7 linked regions of the Kluyveromyces lactis genome follow. Each later gene encodes a partner of the first gene's protein in a complex. Links are inferred from orthologs where the notes say so. Each region holds a gene or a part of one and is shown in the gene's direction. Other genes may lie near its edges.

Region 1 (4,111 bases):
CAAGATCAATAGAACAAGGAAGATGGAAACGAATAACGATTTAGTAGATTTTGTGAAGATAAGCACGATGGGCATGACACCTTCATGATTCATTACCTCAGAGACATCAGGTAGAATGAGCATCATTGGGATCAAGAAAAATAGTCCGGAAACTAGTGAGATTATCACAGAGCGTGTCATACTGTAAGGAATATCTTTCTCTGGTTTCTCAGTTTCGTCAGATAATGCCGATAACATCGCAAACCCTTGGAAAGTGAAATTAGATTGCTGAAACCCTCCAATTAAAAATGACAAGGCCATAGAACTATACCCCGACAAACTATTATCGAATTTGGTAAAGACATCCTTGAATGATCTATGGTTTGGTTGGAATAATAGGAGAAGTGTACTTGTGAATAATATCGCATATAAGATCCAGTAAACACAGACCTTATTGATAGTTTCAATGAAACTTGAAAATTTTAGATTAATGACTCCAACCACAGTCACAATGAGATAAAACATTAGCACAGTCCATAACGTCAACCACCGGGAGTCTATCAGAGATTCATTAGTCATTGTCAGCAAAGAAATAATCAATTGTGCACCCGCAAACGTAATACTAGTGCTCATCGTCCAACTTCCAAACAACATTAGCCAACCACAGTACCAAGACATACGCAACCGAAGTCTGCCAGGCGCAAGCATGGCCGCTGCACCGTGAAGTTCTATGGGGTACTTCGAGACTATCTCACTGAGCGACAGTGAACTAATCCACGTCATTATCCCACATATCAGATACCCAAATATTATCGATGGAGATCCACCATTTAGCAATCCAATACTCATAGTAGTGCTCATACCAAGTACGGGACTCATCAACCCAAACCCTAGACCAATAACAGAAGTCCGCGAAAGTAAATTCTTGTCAAGTTGCTGTACATATGTAAACTCTTTAACCTCATCGGGAATATCCTGGTCTTCCTCGTTCAATAAAGACAACAATCGCTCGGGAATGTGTATGTTCCCGTTAAGATTAGAAAGCCAGATGTATTCAGGCATTTCAAAATGCAGTTCGGCTCTGTGTGACCCCTTGGTAAGCTCACCCTTTTTATTTCCTAGAACCCTTTCGGCATCCGTCTTGGCAAAATGTCTGTCTTTTCGAGGGCTCATCGATATTTTCAGTTCTTAGACATTATGTAAATGTTGACGAAAGTCAAAGCTTCGAGTAATGAAGATAGAATGATAAGCACATGCATTGCTCTTAGGGAAGACTACTGCGATTTGGGTGACGTGACTCAGCACTGAGTACTTTTGGAAGGAAATACAATAATGGATGAAGATTTGTACGATGAGTTCGGTAATTTCATTGGGGATCCAATGCAATTAATCGATTCTGATGATGATAGTTTGGAAGAAGTAGGAGAGCAGGAAGCTCAACATGAATTACGGCAAAAGATAGTCGAGGCTGACTCTACCGATGTGGTACTTCGAGATGTGAACCGTGATTTCGATGATGATGTTGAAGTTTTGTTGGAAGTGGAAGATAGAGAACCTGAGAAACCATTGATTGGGGACGATTCGAAATCATATAGCGAAGCTGTTAACAGGAAAGTACCTAAAGCACTATTTGACAGAGGGTACTTGAAAAGCCTTTTCTCGATACCAGAACGTCAGTTAAATGTTGGAATTTTCGGGGCGCTACATTGTGGTAAGACTTCTTTCACGGATATGTTTGCGTTAGATACTCATCGCAATCTTCCGTCCTTGACAAAAAAAGTTAAGGAGGGATGGGTACCGTTTAGGTACCTCGACCAAGCGAGGATAGAAAAGGAACGTGGTATTTCGCTTAGATTGAATGGTATGTCGTTTGCATATGAATCGTCAAGAGGACGTACGTATGCAGTGACGATGTTGGACACACCTGGACATGTAAATTTTTGGGACGATGTCGGTATTGCTTTGACTGCTTGCCAATATGGTGTAATCATCGTTGATGTGATAGAAGGAATTACTTCTGTAGTTTCCAAACTGATAAGAGAATTGATAAGTAATGGGATCCCCTTTATCATCGTTCTTAACAAAATTGATAGATTAATTTTGGATTTGAGACTTCCTCCTACAGACGCATACAGCAAACTACAATATATCGTGAACGAAATAAACACATATACCAAAGAAAGATTCTCACCGGAGCTAGGTAATGTACTCTTTGCCAGTACCAAGTTTGGATTCTTATTCTCTGTGGAGTCTTTTGTGAACTCATTTTACGCTAAATCGTTAAAGGATAAGACAGAACAATTTGCTGCTCAACTTTGGGGTCAAATTAATTACAGAGAAGGAGCATTCTACCAAACAGAATTTATTACGGACAACATTGCATTCATTCAGTTTATTTTACAACCTTTATACAAGGTTTTCACTCATACATTATCTGCATCCGAGGAAGAACTAAGAACAGTCATCGAAACCAATTTTCAAATCAGGCTTTCAGATGAGATTCTATCAAAGGATCCTCAGCCGCTACTTTTTAGCGTGTTTCATGCTATACTACCGCACTATCACTGCTTCATCGATGCTATTGTTTCAACACAGGACCACAAAATCAACAACTTATCATCCGATGAAAGCACTGTTGTACATGTATTGAGACACATGAGCCTGGAAGGTTCCAAGTGGTCCCTTTGTCGGATAATAGAGGGCTCAGTGAAAAAAGGCAACAAACTCTATATTTTCAATGAGTCCGTAGACTCTGTAGTAGATTTTGGTGATGATGAATACTCCAAGGTTACTATTGAGCGTGTAGCCTTAATGGGAGGTAGGTATGTCTACGAACTCGAGGAAGCAATAAAAGGACAGATTGTACTTTTAAAAGGTTTTGAAGATCAGTATACGAAATATGCAACTTTGTCTTCGAGCTTGATGAACCCGCTAGCACCAATTAACTATCTCAACGAATCGGTGTTCAAATTCGCCATACAGCCTCAGAAACCAAGTGAACTACCGAGACTATTGAACGGTCTTCAACAAGCAAACGAATTGTACCCTGCATTAGTGGTTAGAGTTGAAGAAAGCGGCGAAAACATCATAATTGGAACAGGAGAACTTTACCTTGATTGCGTGATGGACGAATTACGGAAAAAATTCTGTGAAATTGAGATCAAAGTAAGCCAACCGCTTGTGCAATTCACGGAAAGTTGTCAGAACGAATCGTTCGCGTCAATTCCTGTAAAGTCAAACAACGGTGTAGTATCACTCAGCGTTATGGCCGAAAAATTAGATGGAAAGATAGTACACGATTTGACGCATGGTGAAATCGACAGTTCAGAATTGAATAACATGAGAAAGTTCTCCAAACGTCTAAGAACCGAGTATGGATGGGACTCATTGGCAGCTAGAAACTGCTGGGATTTATCAAAATGTAATGTATTCATTGACGATACTCTACCTGATGAAACGGATAAGCAACTACTCAAGAAATATAAAGAAAACATTTTACAAGGGTTTGAATGGGCTGTGAAAGAAGGACCATTGGCTGATGAAACAATCCATGCATGCCAATTTAAACTCTTGCAATTCAAGGTACAAGAAGACAGCATCGAAGATATCATCCCATCTCAACTAGTGCCAATGACGAGAAAGGCATGTTACATTGCGCTAATGTCTGCTACTCCAATTATCATGGAACCCATCTATGAAGTCGATATTATCGTATCGGGGGTATTGGAGTCTGTGATTCAGAATTTATTGAAGAGACGCAGAGGTGGAAGAATTTACAAGACAGAAAAGATAGTGGCATCACCATTCATAGAAATAAAGGCTCAATTACCTGTCATCGAGTCGATTGGATTTGAGACAGATCTTCGTGTTGCGACCGCCGGTAGCGGAATGTGTCAAATGCACTTTTGGAATAAAATATGGAGAAAAGTGCCAGGTGACGTACTTGACGAAGAAGCCTTCATACCGAAGTTGAAACCAGCGCCTGCTGCAAGCCTAAGCAGGGACTTTGTGATGAAGACAAGACGTCGCAAGGGTTTATCTGAAAGTGGTCACATGACTCAAGACGGGCCATCATTAAAGAAATACATTGATCAAGATCTATTCAAGAAGTTGCAACAAAAACGATTTGTAT
Region 2 (2,029 bases), on another chromosome or scaffold:
GGTGAGGGTTCAACTATTAAGGACAGCGATAAATGTGGTACCTGTCATAGCCACGGTTTCAAATTGAATTCAAATAAAACTATCACCGTAGACTTACCTCACGGACTTCAGGACGGTGACACAATTAGAGTACCTAACCAAGGTAGTTACCCCGGTATGGCTATCGATCCGTCCATGAAATCTGAATTGCATTTAACCAGAGGCGATTTGTTGATTCGTGTCAGAGTCAGGAAAGACACAAGATTCCAAGTTTCAAATAATTACGACATCATTTACACTCAGGAAATCCCAATTACAACGGCAGCACTAGGTGGCGTCATTGAAGTACCCACCGTAGAGGAAGAAAAGATCAGATTGAAGGTCAGCTCTGGTACTCAACACGATCAAGTCATCAGAATTCCAAATAAGGGTGTCCCTCGTGGAGCTAGAGGTGACAGGGGTGACATGCTTGTCAAGTTCAAGATTGTTATCAAAAAACCAAAGGATGAAACAGAACGTTATCTATGGGAGACCTTGGCCCACTTGACCAATGATACCACTGCAAGAAGGACCATTACTCCCTCTGGATCGTCGGCTAAGGACAACTCTTCCTCTGCTGATAAAGACACAGTTGAAAACAATGAAGGAACCATCAAGAAATTGGAAAATTTCTTGTCTAACACTTTAAAGAAGATCAGAGGGGAATGAAATCCTTAAATCGCATATATGCTCTCCCGTCATACATTCCACCTTCATTCTTTCATAATTCTTTGATTGGATGAACTAATTACGACATTGGCATTCTCATTATTCATGTACCACTTACAGCAGTCATAGCCAGTAATTGCATATACTGCACATTATTTTATAAAACCCTTTAACATCATGTAAATACCAATTTCCCTATATATATATATAATTGCACTTAGCGCATAATACTTATCGTTTTGATATTCTCTTACTAGTTATCCCTACTTACCATATTTAGCTCGGGATTGAAATTCATGCCAATGACAACGAATGTTTTCAGTAAGGGTCGATATGCTTTAGTAACTTATTCTGACCATCGTTGTCTTCTTAACATTGTGACATTGAAAATTACTTTTGAATGGAAAAAGCATAATTATGTACAAAATTCATCAATTGAAATATACTGAAGATAAATTTCGAAGGACTTTTGCCAAGAGTTAAGAGACTATATCTACGACTTATCACTTCCGTACGACCCATTATAAACCATCCAATATTCCATGACATCTCCAGATTTGAGAAAAGTATGTTTACCCCTGTTTTCCAGGAAAAATCTTATCAGAATTTAAATTACTAACTATAATATGATTCGTTGCAAACAGTACATGGACAAGAAACTCATTCTACAGCTTAACGGCAATAGGAAAATTATTGGAATATTACGAGGATATGATGCATTTTTGAACTTAGTACTGGATAATCCAATACAGATTTTCGAAGAAGGAGAGGTCCAAATGGGACCCCAGACTGTTGTTAGAGGTAACTCCATTGTATCGATAGAACCTCTTGACAGTTTGTAAGAGCAGAAGGGAGACAAATACAACTCAATGTGTCGGAACACTTTACTTAGTGACATTTACGTACAATGAATTATGCTAGTAGAAAGGAAGGATAGATATGATAGAGCGCACACTGGTTACAACATCATTTGTCGAATCTGATTTGCATTTCGACACCAGCTTTTTTCAATCCACATTTCTCATAGAATCCAACATTACTTTCATCACAATCAAGAATAACTTTATAGCATCCATACTCGTTAGCTAATTTGTATAAATACTGAATTAATATCAATCCCAATTTCTTCCCCTGTTGATCTTTTCTCACTGCAATGTCTTCAATATGACCAACAAGCCCACATTCGTGAATAACTTTTTTCTCGACTAGCACGTTTCCTGTGGCGACAACTTCCCCATTTGTGTCAACGATCACAGTGCTATTGTACATAGGTATATCTCCTATCGTGACTGAATCCCAATGGTCTATTAGTGAATGGAATTGATCTTGGCTCACATCACCA
Region 3 (2,334 bases), on another chromosome or scaffold:
CCGGTTACAAGCTATAGATCTCTGCAAGAAGGTGCGTATCTTTTACTGCATAATTTGCCCATTTATGATGGTGGTGTTGTGCATCATGTGCCTCTGCTGGTAGCTTTAATGGCATTCGTTCAACAAGCGGAGTTTCTAATGCCCGTTTTGTTTGCGGCCATGGACACTCTAATAGCGTATCAATTGATGCAAATAGCTAAGATATATCAACGCCAATTGCAAATTCCTAGTTATATTCCAGGTGTGGTTTATGCAGTGAACCCTTTGGTACTTTTATCATGTGTCTCACAATCGACATGTCTATTTGTGAACCTTTCCATTTCTACTTCTTTACTATTTGCGTTATCTAGACAGTTCTCACTGTCAGCCATATGCATTGCGTTGGCTGGTTATTTATCACCTTACGCTTATCTACTGTTGATCCCATTGGCAGGAATCTGTGGATCAAATTCTTTCGGCCTTGTTGTCAAGTGTACATTGGTATCGATTGTTTTGCAGTTGATCAGTTTCAAGTTAAATAACGATAACTGGAACTATTTGACTTCAACATACTGGATATTGATTACTTTCAGTAAGATAAGGCCAAATCTAGGGTTGTGGTGGTATTTCTTTATTGAAATGTTCGAATTTTTCATCCCATTTTTCAAATCTGTGTTCAACATATTTGTTGTTTCATTTATCCCACCTTTCACTATTAGATTCAATCAGCAATCGTTTTACGCATTTGTTCTATGTCTAGGTTGGATTACGCTCACCAAATCATACCCAACGTTAGGTGACGGAGGGTTTTTCTTAAGTTTTATCCCATTTTTCAAACCGATCTTTGGGTATCTAAGATATCCAGTCATATCAACCCTTTTATTCATTCATGCCATCATTTTGTCACCAATCTTCTACTACCTATGGATTGGATTAGGCTCCGGTAATAGTAACTTTTTCTATGCCATTTCTTTGGTTTATGCGTTAGCCATCTCGTCAGTGATTGTGGATTTGACGTGGGCCATGTTAAGAATTGAATACGATTCAGGTAAACCAAACCTTTCATTAAAACTGACTCAAATTTGAATGAACCCTGTTCCTTCTGTTGGAAGAAACATATCGTATTGTCATTATTTAATATATATCTAAGTATGACTTACCCAGTGCATGGCATAAAAACTTTTGAAAACTGTCCGGACTACTTTGGTTTGTTTTATTTGTTCCCTTGGTAGGGCATCTAATATTTCCATGCCATATTGAAAAACATGAAAATACAGTATTGCAAAAAGATAGACAACGAAAACATTACGTAGCAACCAACAGACGTAATAAAACCTTTAACAGATTCTCGAATTATATCGTGTAATCGATACATATCAGAACACCCGCGCATTAACGTATTGAAATGGTAAGTTTTCTTGTTCCATACTTTTTTGGTCGCAGCTAGGACGATTATGTCCATCTGCGATCGATGAATCCACAGATTTTGTCACCTTACTAACCAATTTAAACGTTGCAGGATCCAGAGGAATTCAAACCAATTAACCCTAAACCCTTTTTACATCAATTGATAGACAAAGATGTGCTGGTGACACTCAAATTCAATAAAATACAATATAAAGGAAGACTTGTATCGGTAGATACATATTTCAATCTACAACTAACAGATGCGGAAGAGATCATAAATGATGTCTCAAGTGGGAAAGTTGGGGACATTTTCATCAGATGTAATAACGTGCTATACGTAGGAGAGGATGTGAACAAGCAAAGTGATCAACCCCCTACGCCGACTGGAACAACAGAGAAATCTGACGATAAAGAGGAAAATGGAGAACTCGCAGAAGAAGCGAATTAATATAGCACTAGTCTGAATATTATTGAAGCAAACAAGGAAACATCGGAATAATTATGGATTCACTGTATAGCTTTCCTCAGTTGTAATAGAATTAGGGAACTGCTTATCTTAATAAAGGGAATATTAGTATTAGTATAATTAATGATAGTATAGTTTATGTAGGTTTTACAATTCAAAGGCTCATTCTAAAAAAATCTCTAGAGATTAATACCTTATGTTTTTCATTCCAAGAAGGTCTCGTTCACGGTGTAACAGCTGTTCCAGCCACCATGGATTTCTTATTGCTTACTAGTTTTCCAGTTGAGTTGGGGTAGTGATTTCCAAAAAAAATGCAAAAATGAAACGGACAGGAATTGAACCTGCAACCCTTCGATTGCAATTTTGTTTCCATAGAAATTTCCAGGATTTAACTGGAGTCGAAAGCTCTACCATTGAGCCACCGCTTCATTCTTAAGGTTTTTATCTATAACATCTTCTATATGAAATGGAGTGGCAGCATT
Region 4 (2,258 bases), on another chromosome or scaffold:
TGATTTTAGACAAAGTTTTCTTTGGTGTGCTTGACCAAGGAAACGGATGGCTTTATATTTATGAGACACCACAACAGGATGCCACTTATGATTCTTCGTTAGAATTGATCAATCAACTCAATGGAGTTGTAGAACAACTCTTTGAAAAAGCCGCTGTATTATACTAAAATTAAAAATTCATTATAATACGCTCATCCTTCAATCATTAAAGTAACTTAGTAAATAAATATATTTTACGTAGGTTTAAGATCATTCGAAATTCAAATAAAGTATTCCTCCGGTACCTTGAAAGGTACGCCCAATATTTTAGCAAACTCTTTGTCACTGTCACTAAAATCATTTGGTCTTCCTGCAGCATCCCCGCAGTAAAATAAAAGTTCAATTGAGTCCGATTGTTCGTCAGAATCTTTAAGAAATTCATCAAACAAACCACGATTGGGTTTTCTCACATTATCAAACATTTCAGGTGTTACCATTGTCCCGTTTATTCTTTTCTTCTGGCCAGAAATAATGTTCTTAACAACTTTATTTGCGTGAGCAGTGCTGGCGGCTTTGCTGCCACCAAAAAGGGAAGCTGGTTTTTTAGTAGCACAGTAAATCCAAATACGATCACACAGTTGAGAATCGTTTTCCGATATGTATTTCAATACTTTGCAAATTTTATCAACGTGTTTTACGCAGCTTTTAGAGGTTCTAGGTTCACTAACAACACCGCCTTGGTTGGAGAAGAAGACGATGTGAAAATCTGGTGTTTCCTTCATTTGTGCCGAAAGTTTAGCAAGTACCTCGGTTTTTCCATATTTCATGAATATCCAATCATCTGATGTCCTACTGAATCGGCCTTTAACTGGTTTGATCACGGTGTGATCAAGGTCAAATGAGATGACCTTCCTTACAGGGGCGGGATCTTTGGGAACCCATTTTATGATATGAGGGAGAATGGTAAGCTTATGAGTAGACTGTGACATGATAGCAAACTGTTACAATTAATATGACAATGGCTGACTCCTTTGAAATACTCTTGTACTTTACTAATTTGTAGTTCCATTTATGCCTTCTTTTGAGATGAAATGACTTAAAAGATCCAATATGGAAAACATCAACTAATTTAATGTTGACATGCATAATAAGTTCCATGACCTAGGAAGAGATCAGGTACTGAGTTCTGAGAAGGAGTACTATTCACTATAAATCAATATGTCATTTGGACGAAGAACATGGAATAGAGAAGAGTATGCTGCCAAGGCAGCAACTTCTCCAGGAGGGCAATCTCATCTTTCATCATTAGACCAGGAACAACTGAAAGCTTTAAAAGATAGATACACAGACTACAATGCTTTACTCGAGTATAATCTACGCGACATCAATAAAAAGACGTTATCAGCCAATCTAAGTCAGCAGAAAAAAGGTAAACAGTTCGGGTTTTACTGTGACATATGTGACTTAACCTTCAAAGACACACTACAATTCATTAACCATTTGAATCACAAATCACATGTTGTACGGTTTGAGAACATATTCAACGAGCCATTGATAAAAGATACGAGGGATAATGATCTAGTACCACTTAATGAGGTACGATCCCAGTTTCATAAATCTGTATCAGCATTTATCGGGGACACTGAATTGAGATCCAATAAACGCAAAGCGGCAAAGAGAGTCAAATGTGAGAAATCTGATGCAGAAATCAAATATCAACCACAGTCTGAAATCGGCAGGTTAATGGGTTTCACAGAATTCGGAAGTTCCAAGAAATAACATAAATATTGACGTTTTTATTCGAAGCATATCTACATCCCACTATTCACAACGTACTTCTGCTGAATGGCAATTAGATACTGATGATATTTACAAAGTTTAATCGAGATAAAGTTGGATGGATTGTTATAGGAAGTCCCCAGATATATGCAAAAGGGTGCCGATGGGGAAAATGGCATGAGGGGTCATTTTAGATGGTCTCAACTTTATCCACGGTTTTAAAGTATTTGGAAACCTGGCCGTCTCCTTCTGAATTTGGTACAATAACTTTGTCGATAACGGAAACCTCATTTTCGAACTTGATCGCATCTTTTATATTGTCTGGGAAGTCAAGTAGATAAACAGTGTCACCCTTTTGACATTTCTCCTTCATATATTTACCTATCAAGACGACAGAGAGACCTGTTGGTAGTTTTTCCATGTACGATTTCCCCTCCTTTTCATATAAATCATTTAAAAGCACATAATATTTATCGTCAGACTTATTTCTGAAGAATTCA
Region 5 (3,340 bases), on another chromosome or scaffold:
TGGGATCTTGATTTCACATTGCAGCTATCACCGCTTCCATCGAGTATCATGCTGTGTGACACTAGCGCACCAGCTTTCGATGTAACGTACAACGGATGCAAAACGATCAACCCCGGTAGATTTATTCACAAAAGAGCTGCCAAATATATAGAATTCTTCCCTGCTTCTAAGGTTCTAGTAGAGGAAGAGCTACCATTTTAATTTATCAATATTAAACTACTTGTGGACCTACTTTTTGCGGTCGTTAGCATTCATAATTTATTTAAGTTTCTAAGACACTAATCTGAGTACTTGCGTTGGAAATATTTCGTCACCGTATATGGCATACAGTATACTGGATCAATATCTCTTAATCCTGGATACTTCATTATACTTAATCCTCCTAGACCAAAAACCGTGTGAAATACGTCGACTTCGTTGTCTGGTCTGTCACTAATCCCTCCATTTTTGGGATCCTGACAATGCAAAATGAACTCCGTTAGCTTGGGAAAATCAATCCAATCAGCTTTTTGGAGTATTGAAAGTGTTGATAATACCCACCAGCTATAGCATACATCGGGCAGTTTGCTTGGCCTACCATTTAAGCCCCCCTCTGGAACTTGTCTTTCTGAGAGCCAAACAGCAATATTCTCCTGCTGAGCTGGAGTTAAAGAGTCTAATTTTCCGACGATTGCTAAAGCAGCAATGCAAGTAAATGCCTGAGCAGCATGAGATTCTGCTTCAGGATTTAAGCCAAATCCGCCATCGAAATTGTAACATCTAAGGATATACGAAACTGCTGGTTCTACAACTTCTTTCGTCAATTTGTGTAAAATGGACAAACAGCTCAATGCAGTATATACGAAACGTGTGTCGACTTCACCAAAACTATCACCTTGGAATGAGCCGTCTGCTTTTTGATTGGATAGGATAAATTTTTCCAATTGTTCTTGCTTCTCTGAACCCAAGCGCTCTAAAGCGTTGTAAGTAGCCAAAATCTGAAGCCCTGAAAGAGTCGTTAATAGATGACCATCATGTCTTGGAAACGCAGCAAACCCACCAGTTTTATGATCCCAACAGCTTAGGACAAACTGTATTACATCCTCCTTATTGAATGTTTCGATAGAATCAAGGAGATAGAGGGCTGTCAATCCCCAGTATACCCCATTCAACCTTAGATGTTCTGAGAGCCAGTACTCTAGATCATCTTTCTTAGTATCTAAAGACGCAATATAATCAATGTGTTTATCTCTTAACAACTGCTGTTCACTCATGATCGTTCGATCGACGCCTAGCTTCAGACCCTTTTTACTCGATGGAGTACCTCACTTGTTTTCCAACTTTTGAACTATTCATATTCAGGAATAACGATAAAGTTCATTTTATGAATATGCTTTTAAAGAAGTGAGATGATAAAGAGATGAAATCAAAAAAGTGGCACCGGTAACAACTCACCTTTGGACTATCTGCAGTAACTTCTAATGGTAGAATTAGATGATTTGCAGGTAGATGTTGACTACAAAAACCAGGATGGGCAATCAGTCGGAGATGCTCTGAAAAGATTGGAATTCCAAAGGCAAGAAAGGCTCAAAATTGTGCCTACTCTAGATACAGACGTTAGACGAGCACTAGAGCTAGTGGGAGAGCCCGTTGATATCGCTGGCGAAGATAATTATTCTCGCAGAGATCGACTTTCTGATCTTATTCTTAGCGATCCAAAAGCCAGAGAACGAGTTACAAGGTTAGTAGAGTCAACTTCCAAAGACCAGACGAAAATCGATACTGAAAGAAGTAAAGTAGATGATGAAGACGAGGAGTTCTACACTCCAGCATCACAGCAGTTGATAGAAATGAGGAAGTTTCTTATAATATACTCTATGCAACGCTCTAAGCTGAGGCTTGAGGAGGAGAGACGAAGACTTGTCAGCCAAAATGTGAAAAACGTCATAAGTAAGCGAAGGGACCTGGAAAGTAAATTGAAACAGTTCTCTTTGAAGGGAATGCAGGTGATAGATGAGAAACCTATTTCTGAAATTAATACTTCTCCTGGTGGAGACCTGATGGCTTGTGGCAGTTGGTCCGGAAATTTGTCTCTGGTCGATAATTCGTTGTCCAAAATCTACTGCAATAGATCTTTATCTGGCACAAAGATTAGTGGATTGGATTGGAGCGTGGACTCTAAAAACATTTTTGTCTGTACCCATGATGGACGCATTGTAATATATGATAGTGGTGATGAAACCACAGTTAAGATCTTGTATAAAAATGATGCCAGGTTTGCCCAAGTACGATGCCATCCATGTAATAGTTTTATTGGAAGTACGTCTTTTGACAAAACATGGATCCTGATAGATACTGTGAAACAAGCCCCTATTTTGATTCAGGAAGGTCATTCTGCGGAGGTTTTCTCACTATCTTTTCACAATGATGGCTCATTGGTGAGTACAGCTGGTTTGGATGCAATTGCATTAATATGGGACATACGGTCCGGTAAAAATATCATGTCATTACAGGGACACTCAAAACCTATTTATTCCGTTGACTGGTCCCAAAATGGATATCAGCTTGCGTCTGGTAGTGGTGACGGGACTATAAAGGTTTGGGATATTAGGAAAAAGGGAAATGTGGAAACGATCTTAGCTCACAATAGCATTGTTTCACAAGTCAAATTCAATAAGCAAAACGGAGGATATTTAGTGTCGAGTGGATATGACAAGAAAGTAAATATCTTCAATGATGGGAACTGGATAAAGGAACGAAGCCTTGAAGGGCATCTTGATAAGGTTATGTCAATTGATATTGTAGGTCCTGATATATATAGCGCGGGTTGGGACCGCTCAGTTAACAAATGGGGAGTCTAATTAATTCTACGCAAATTTGTAAAAACGTTAATCATTATGGATGTTAAAATTACGTATCATTTCTTCGATCGGCCATTAGTCGCCTGTCTTCCTCTGCTGGGTTGAATTTTCGATAGTCTATCAGTTATATATCCAAGTTTAGAATGAAGCCCTCCAAGATTTTGCCCTTCCTGTTGTAGTTGTGATTTCAAGAGATCTATTCTCTGTTCAGCACTGGCAACCTTCTTTTTATTTTCGGCTACACTGTCCTCTATTTTCGTTTTCAAGAGCTTGATTTCTTCTCTTAATTTATCTTGTTCTTTGTTGCTTTCATCAACAGATTGAGCGGCTCTTTCTATCTCCTTTTGCATGTATGTTCTCTCAGAAGATTTAGACTCCGAATTTCGTTTTTCTCTCTCGCGGGCATCTTGCAAGTTTGAAATTTCTTCTAGTAAACCCTTCAAAACCTTATGTGGTTCGCTTTTAGACCCTAATTTTGTCATTAAATCATTAATTTCTGA
Region 6 (3,523 bases), on another chromosome or scaffold:
AGATGTAAGGAATGGTACGGTTGGCATTTCCCAGAATTGGCCAAGATTGTTACTGATTCTGTTGCTTACGCCAGAATAATCTTGACCATGGGTATTAGAGTTAATGCTGCTGAAACTGACATGTCTGAAATTTTGCCTGAAGAAATTGAAGAGAGAGTCAAGACCGCTGCCGAAGTCTCCATGGGTACTGAAATTACCCCAGTTGATTTGATTAATATCAAGTGTTTAGCCGAACAAATTGTTGAATTTGCTGCCTACAGAGAACAACTTTCTAACTATTTGTCTTCAAGAATGAAGGCTATTGCTCCAAATTTGACTCAATTAGTTGGTGAATTGGTTGGTGCTAGATTGATCGCACACTCTGGTTCTTTAATCTCTTTGGCCAAGTCTCCAGCTTCCACCATCCAAATCTTGGGTGCTGAAAAGGCTCTTTTCAGAGCATTGAAAACTAAGCATGACACTCCTAAATATGGTCTATTGTACCACGCTTCCTTGGTTGGCCAAGCATCTGGTAAGAACAAGGGTAAGATTGCCAGAGTTTTGGCTGCTAAGGCTGCCGTTTCTTTGCGTTACGATGCTTTGGCTGAAGATAGAGACGATTCTGGTGACATCGGTTTGGAATCCAGAGCTAAGGTAGAATCAAGATTGTCCCAATTAGAAGGCAGAGACTTGAGAACCACACCAAAGGTCGTCCGTGAGCACAAGAAGACTGAAATCACAGAGGCTAGAGCATACAACGCAGATGCTGACACCGTGTCTTCAGCTGCTGCTCCTGCTGACTCTGATGATGAATCCGAGGACGAGGAAGAAACCAAGGAAGAAAAGAAATCTAAGAAGGATAAGAAGGATAAGAAGAGAAAGAGAGACGATGATGAAGAGTCTAAGGAATCTAAGAAGTCTAAGAAGGAGAAGAAAGACAAGAAGGAAAAGAAGGAAAAGAAGGAAAAGAAAGAAAAAAAGGATAAGAAATCTAAGAAGGAAAAGAAATAGATATAGTATTCACATTAAAACCCCACTCTTTTGCATTAAATCTCTAATAACCTCGTATAAATCTGTTCCATTACATACGAACATACTATGTGTGTACCTCTGTAAATTAGTCTGTATCAAATTCAAACAAAATATAATAATTGAATTATTGTCATACGCTGTACTCTTCTTCTCATTGTCATCGTCAATGGCTTTGATAGTTACATCAAAATATTCACTGATGAAAATGTTGAAATATACAATTCTTAAATTCGGACAAGTTGGCGATGAGATGAGGCAGAAAGAAAGCAACAGGATTTGATAATAAGGATATTCGACCACAATACGAATTCTACGAGGCATACAGTTACTTCAAAGCCATGGGTAAGATTACTTCTATATCTTTGGAAGAAACAAATCGAATTAGGGCAAGTTTAGGTTTGAAGACTATACCTAGGCCCACTGAGACGTCAACAGAATCAAAAGAAGGTGCATCTGATACAAATAGGAAAGTACGAAGATCTAGTCAGCTAAGTTCACGTCCCTCCGAAAAGGATTGTGCTTCTGGAAAAATAAATGGAAGCGCTCAAGATCGTGATAAAAAGATTGGTCAACTAAAACAAAGAATATATGAATCAAAGGAAGCAGTGGACCAAAGAGCGACTACTGATAAAGAATCTATTGATGACTGGCTTTCCAAAATTGGGAAACCTATCACTCACAAAGAATCTTCTGCTGAAAATGCTACTGTACATGATGACATTACGCATCACCATATCCCAGTATCAGATGAACTGAAATCTATTGCTGAACAGAAAGCAGTCATTTTTACATTGAAAGAAACTTCAGTGACAAACGACGAAGAGAATATTGATGACGAAAACATATTAGAGAATGAGAAGCTAGTTCATGATAAACAGGATGCCAAAAATCTTAAGCTACGGCAATTGAATAAAGATAGAAAACTAAACAAAATCTCCATCTTTGATTACAGCGATGAGGCTAATGATACAAACTCAAGATCTGACATACCATTACACGACTCCTTAGTAAATGATAAACCATTACCTGTTCACCAGTCTCTCCCTAAGAGGGTCAAAATTGAAAGTGACTCAGATGATGAGCAACCATATCAAGATTACGCACCAGTCAAGATTAAAAGGCGAAAGAAGAAATCAAATCAAAACCAGAAACCGAGAAGAATAGACACAGCGAGAATGGTGAAAGTTGATCTTTTGGAAGATGATGAGGATTTCTCAGACCGGCCAATTCAGGCAGTTGTCAAAGTCAAACAGAAACGCAGTAATGAGGAAATAACAGGGATAAAGAATTCATTGGAGTTGGAAAAACTCGAAGGACAGCAAAGAAGCAAAGGAATTCATATGTTGAACAATAGTGATAAAGGAATTCTTCTGGATGAAACCGATGAATTTTTGGATTCTTTGAAGGCGAACGTTCTTGACAGAGAACCTGTTAATGATGATTTGCCCATAAAAATCGATTTGAAACCAGTGCAAAAAGATAAAACGGGAACTATTCCAGCAACATTAGTCACCGATAACGATATCACGCAACCTGATTTCTCAGGAGGTGTGGCAGGAATGTTGAACTTCTTGAAGGAACGAAATATAATTAAGCAAGACGATCGCCCCAATATGGGAAGCGACAGTAAAAAACACGGAACGGATGTCAGGAAAGAGTTTGAGATCTTAAACGGCATTGTGAATTCCCTTAAGACTGTTGACGAAAAGTTGGACTCCAATGATGTAAACTTTTCTGAGGACGAATTGCGTAAGATTAAAGCTGCGCAAGCGGAAGAAATGGCATTGAAAATTCAACGTATACAAGAGGAAAAACTAAGAGACTACAACCCAACGGTCGAACTCGCATATCAGGATTCCGAGGGTAATGAGTTGAAAACTAAAGAGGCCTATAAACAACTTTCTCAAGCATGGCATGGGACAAAATCCAGTAAGAAGACTTTGGAAAGACAACGGAAGAAAATGGCGGACAGAAAGAAACAATTGGAAAGAGACTCATACTTGGGACTATAGAACCTTACATATCACACTTATTCAAAGTAATTAGAGTTAAAACCTATGGCATTTTGAATTGACGCTTCCTAGAAAATTGTCTTGCTCTGCCCACAGCAATCACGAGCTAGCACCATTCTGCAGAGAACCCTTTGTGCTTGGCTTTCCACGTGACTGCCAAAAAACGTTAACAACGTCAGCAAGCAAAAACATCACATCGGTCAGAAAGAAAGAAAAAAGACTGGAAATATATAATATAATAACATGGCATCAATTTTTGGCGACTTGTAATAGAAAGAGATACTTCTTACATAGTGACAGTCGGCTCTAAAATCGCTGCTCGCTCCATAAAGTAACAGTTCTTTTCGATCTATTCTATCGTTTGCTAAATTATTCTCATTCAACTTCGTTCCACTCGCTTTATTGATTTTAAGAAGGTGTGAATAAAATAAGCGAAAAATGATTGTAACTTCCAAGAGCGTCACTTCGAAGCGCCGTCCTTCGATCAATAAAACATTTTC
Region 7 (2,193 bases), on another chromosome or scaffold:
AAGAGAATTTGCGGAGAGAGATTCTTTCCTTGAAGAATGAAAGTAATATTTTATCAGAATGGATCAAGACCCTTATTTCTTGAATTTCTTCAAATAAATATTCTGAGCCGTACCCAGAATTGCGTATGCCAAACTAAAAAATACGGACCATTTATCTGGTGAAATGTATCTTTGAGCAATTGACATCAATACCGTTGATGTTGCCAAGCTGGAAGACAACATTGCCGCATATCTTGTCTTGATTGCGTGTATAATTTTTGTTTTGTCAACCTTACCGTTGTTAACAGAAGTCAAGGTAAATAGTAACCCTAACACTTGAATAGGCGATACCATGCCTAATGAGCAGCCTAACTGGACCAAGCTTCTATATTTGGATACCACTTTCCTAATTGTGTATTCGTTTATCCATTTGTAACTGAAATGATTAACTGGTGCGTTAAATAGACCACCATATAGACTCATCAATGCCACTTTGATCCAATTTAGCTTCTCTTTTCTTTCCTCTGGAGACAGACTAACCCATTGACTGAACAGTTCGCTTAACCCAGTTAATACCGCGCCTGTTATGCATTTAGTTAATAACGGGTTACGTTTGAGTAAAATATTATATCTCTTCAAGATTACTGATGACGACATGTTTACTCTTGGCGTTAATCTTTAATACTCCCAATCTCTCGATGCGAGCAGCAGTAACCTTGAAAGCTTGCGATCCATGAGATATGAAAAGAGTAATATCTGACTTTAACATCTATATATATATATATATATATATATCCAGATTTTATCAAAGCAATGACTGACAGAACGTTTTGTTATCGCTTGCATGGATAGTTTCTTATCGCACTTCTCCGTGTATCTGTTAACCATTTAACATGAGATGCAACGGATCTAAATACTTTTTGGGTTCCATGTAAGATTCGAACACATGCTCGCTCGAATGTAAGAAACCATTGGAATCTCACGCAAATGAGTTACCCTGTTAAGGCACGTGATAATATGAAATTTCCACTCTTTTCCAGGAAAGAACGACCCCATTGATTCTTGAGTATCAATTTGAACCATTTCATCCATCATTATGTAGAATATGTCAATTGAGTAACTACGATCAAATCCTGATCTTTTATCAAAATCAGGAAGTTGCTTGTGGATCATCTGTTACTTTTGCAAAATTCAAAACTCTTTTTCATCAAAACCATTTGAAACTGGTAACAGCTTTCTGGTGTATCTTTAGTCCGATTGAAACAACGAAGTTTTATATACAGACAAAATGCAGTTAACAGGGTTCTTAAAGAAACTAAAGAATGAAAGGGTGTCTATAGAGTTGAAGAATGGTACCACTGTTTGGGGAATAGTGAGGAGTGTGTCACCGCAGATGAACGTCTCTCTTACTGACGTCAGGCTGACACTCCCTACTAAGACCTCAGAAGCTACCTTGGCTGCCGTCTTATTGTCAGGTGGATCGACACAAGGACAAGAATCTAAGAGAACAACTAGCCTCGAGTTCATCAACATTAGGGGTAATACGATAAGGCAGATTATTTTACCAGATAGTATCAATTTGGATGCGTTGCTTGTAGACCAACAGGAAGTCAACAGGTTGAGGAAACAAGGTAAAGTGGGAAGTGATCCGAATAAGAAGAGATCACTTGAGAGTAACGGGAATGCTCCTAAACGTCCAAAGAGGGCATTTTAATATACATCAGAAAACATATGTGGAAATAAATATGTAGTGATGTTATGGACTTTGTTTTGATGAATGATTAAACACTATTGATAATTATCTTTCATAATGAATAGCCGTTCTTTCCAGTCGATGCCTCCAAAAAAAGAAAGAATGGAATCAAATTTGATCACTGTCATCTCTTGGATCAGAGCTGGAGTCCGAGTCGCTTGAGCTCTCATCGTCCTCTTCATCGTCCCATATTTTACACCAATTGCATTTTCCTAAGGGGATGCCCCAAATTTCATTCCTGTCGCATAACCAGTCTATCAACTCATCGAAATGTATCAATTTAATCTCTTTTTTAATCGATGATGACCAACAATCCATATCTAACGAGTAACTTTTTAATTTTCTATGATCAAGTATATATTTCTTCATTAAATCATGTAATAAATTGAACGATATATCTTGCTCGGAAGGATTACTCTCAGTTAAGAAATAATACGAGATTCTCATATAACATAATACCA

What was found.
Region 2: SNU114 (region 1) and SMX2 share a complex: the UniProt entries of both Saccharomyces cerevisiae proteins name them as parts of the U4/U6-U5 tri-snRNP complex. The link is inferred for Kluyveromyces lactis from reciprocal best matches to the Saccharomyces cerevisiae genes SNU114 and SMX2.
Region 3: SNU114 (region 1) and SMX3 share a complex: the UniProt entries of both Saccharomyces cerevisiae proteins name them as parts of the U4/U6-U5 tri-snRNP complex. The link is inferred for Kluyveromyces lactis from reciprocal best matches to the Saccharomyces cerevisiae genes SNU114 and SMX3.
Region 4: SNU114 (region 1) and SNU23 share a complex: the UniProt entries of both Saccharomyces cerevisiae proteins name them as parts of the U4/U6-U5 tri-snRNP complex. The link is inferred for Kluyveromyces lactis from reciprocal best matches to the Saccharomyces cerevisiae genes SNU114 and SNU23.
Region 5: SNU114 (region 1) and PRP4 share a complex: the UniProt entries of both Saccharomyces cerevisiae proteins name them as parts of the U4/U6-U5 tri-snRNP complex. The link is inferred for Kluyveromyces lactis from reciprocal best matches to the Saccharomyces cerevisiae genes SNU114 and PRP4.
Region 6: SNU114 (region 1) and SNU66 share a complex: the UniProt entries of both Saccharomyces cerevisiae proteins name them as parts of the U4/U6-U5 tri-snRNP complex. The link is inferred for Kluyveromyces lactis from reciprocal best matches to the Saccharomyces cerevisiae genes SNU114 and SNU66.
Region 7: SNU114 (region 1) and SMD1 share a complex: the UniProt entries of both Saccharomyces cerevisiae proteins name them as parts of the U4/U6-U5 tri-snRNP complex. The link is inferred for Kluyveromyces lactis from reciprocal best matches to the Saccharomyces cerevisiae genes SNU114 and SMD1.

What each region holds. Positions count from the first base shown.
Region 1 is NC_006037.1:603,700-607,810, forward strand, and holds the start of SNU114 (U5 snRNP GTPase SNU114), read left to right. Parts: upstream 1-1,311; coding exon 1,312-4,111. Other genes in the region: TPO5 (Tpo5p), read right to left, coding at 1-1,152. UniProt on the Saccharomyces cerevisiae protein: Component of the U5 snRNP complex required for pre-mRNA splicing. Binds GTP.
Region 2 is NC_006040.1:658,908-660,936, forward strand, and holds SMX2 (mRNA splicing protein SMX2), read left to right. Parts: upstream 1-1,229; coding exon 1,230-1,253; intron 1,254-1,331; coding exon 1,332-1,529; downstream 1,530-2,029. Other genes in the region: MDJ1 (Mdj1p), read left to right, coding at 1-687; GNA1 (glucosamine 6-phosphate N-acetyltransferase), read right to left, coding at 1,654-2,029. UniProt on the Saccharomyces cerevisiae protein: Plays a role in pre-mRNA splicing as a core component of the spliceosomal U1, U2, U4 and U5 small nuclear ribonucleoproteins (snRNPs), the building blocks of the spliceosome.
Region 3 is NC_006041.1:436,335-438,668, forward strand, and holds SMX3 (mRNA splicing protein SMX3), read left to right. Parts: upstream 1-1,384; coding exon 1,385-1,387; intron 1,388-1,498; coding exon 1,499-1,834; downstream 1,835-2,334. Other genes in the region: GPI-anchor transamidase subunit GAB1, read left to right, coding at 1-1,065. UniProt on the Saccharomyces cerevisiae protein: Plays a role in pre-mRNA splicing as a core component of the spliceosomal U1, U2, U4 and U5 small nuclear ribonucleoproteins (snRNPs), the building blocks of the spliceosome.
Region 4 is NC_006041.1:139,308-141,565, forward strand, and holds SNU23 (U4/U6-U5 snRNP complex subunit SNU23), read left to right. Parts: upstream 1-1,197; coding exon 1,198-1,758; downstream 1,759-2,258. Other genes in the region: proteasome regulatory particle lid subunit RPN6, read left to right, coding at 1-167; TPP1 (polynucleotide 3'-phosphatase), read right to left, coding at 261-968; AIM36 (Aim36p), read right to left, coding at 1,949-2,258. UniProt on the Saccharomyces cerevisiae protein: Participates in pre-mRNA splicing. Part of the U4/U5/U6 tri-snRNP complex, one of the building blocks of the spliceosome.
Region 5 is NC_006041.1:426,818-430,157, forward strand, and holds PRP4 (U4/U6-U5 snRNP complex subunit PRP4), read left to right. Parts: upstream 1-1,460; coding exon 1,461-2,840; downstream 2,841-3,340. Other genes in the region: DPB2 (DNA polymerase epsilon noncatalytic subunit), read left to right, coding at 1-201; Rab geranylgeranyltransferase BET2, read right to left, coding at 279-1,253; HDA3 (Hda3p), read right to left, coding at 2,897-3,340. UniProt on the Saccharomyces cerevisiae protein: Involved in RNA splicing. Is required for the association of U4/U6 snRNP with U5 snRNP in an early step of spliceosome assembly.
Region 6 is NC_006042.1:799,090-802,612, reverse strand, and holds SNU66 (U4/U6-U5 snRNP complex subunit SNU66), read left to right. Parts: upstream 1-1,349; coding exon 1,350-3,023; downstream 3,024-3,523. Other genes in the region: RNA-processing protein NOP58, read left to right, coding at 1-990; SLY41 (Sly41p), read left to right, coding at 3,462-3,523. UniProt on the Saccharomyces cerevisiae protein: Component of the U4/U6.U5 tri-snRNP particle, one of the building blocks of the spliceosome. Required for pre-mRNA splicing.
Region 7 is NC_006040.1:320,449-322,641, forward strand, and holds SMD1 (mRNA splicing protein SMD1), read left to right. Parts: upstream 1-1,267; coding exon 1,268-1,693; downstream 1,694-2,193. Other genes in the region: KLLA0_D03740g (uncharacterized protein), read left to right, coding at 1-83; KLLA0_D03751g (uncharacterized protein), read right to left, coding at 73-636; U4/U6-U5 snRNP complex subunit PRP38, read right to left, coding at 1,841-2,193. UniProt on the Saccharomyces cerevisiae protein: lays a role in pre-mRNA splicing as a core component of the spliceosomal U1, U2, U4 and U5 small nuclear ribonucleoproteins (snRNPs), the building blocks of the spliceosome. Also binds telomerase RNA and is required for its accumulation.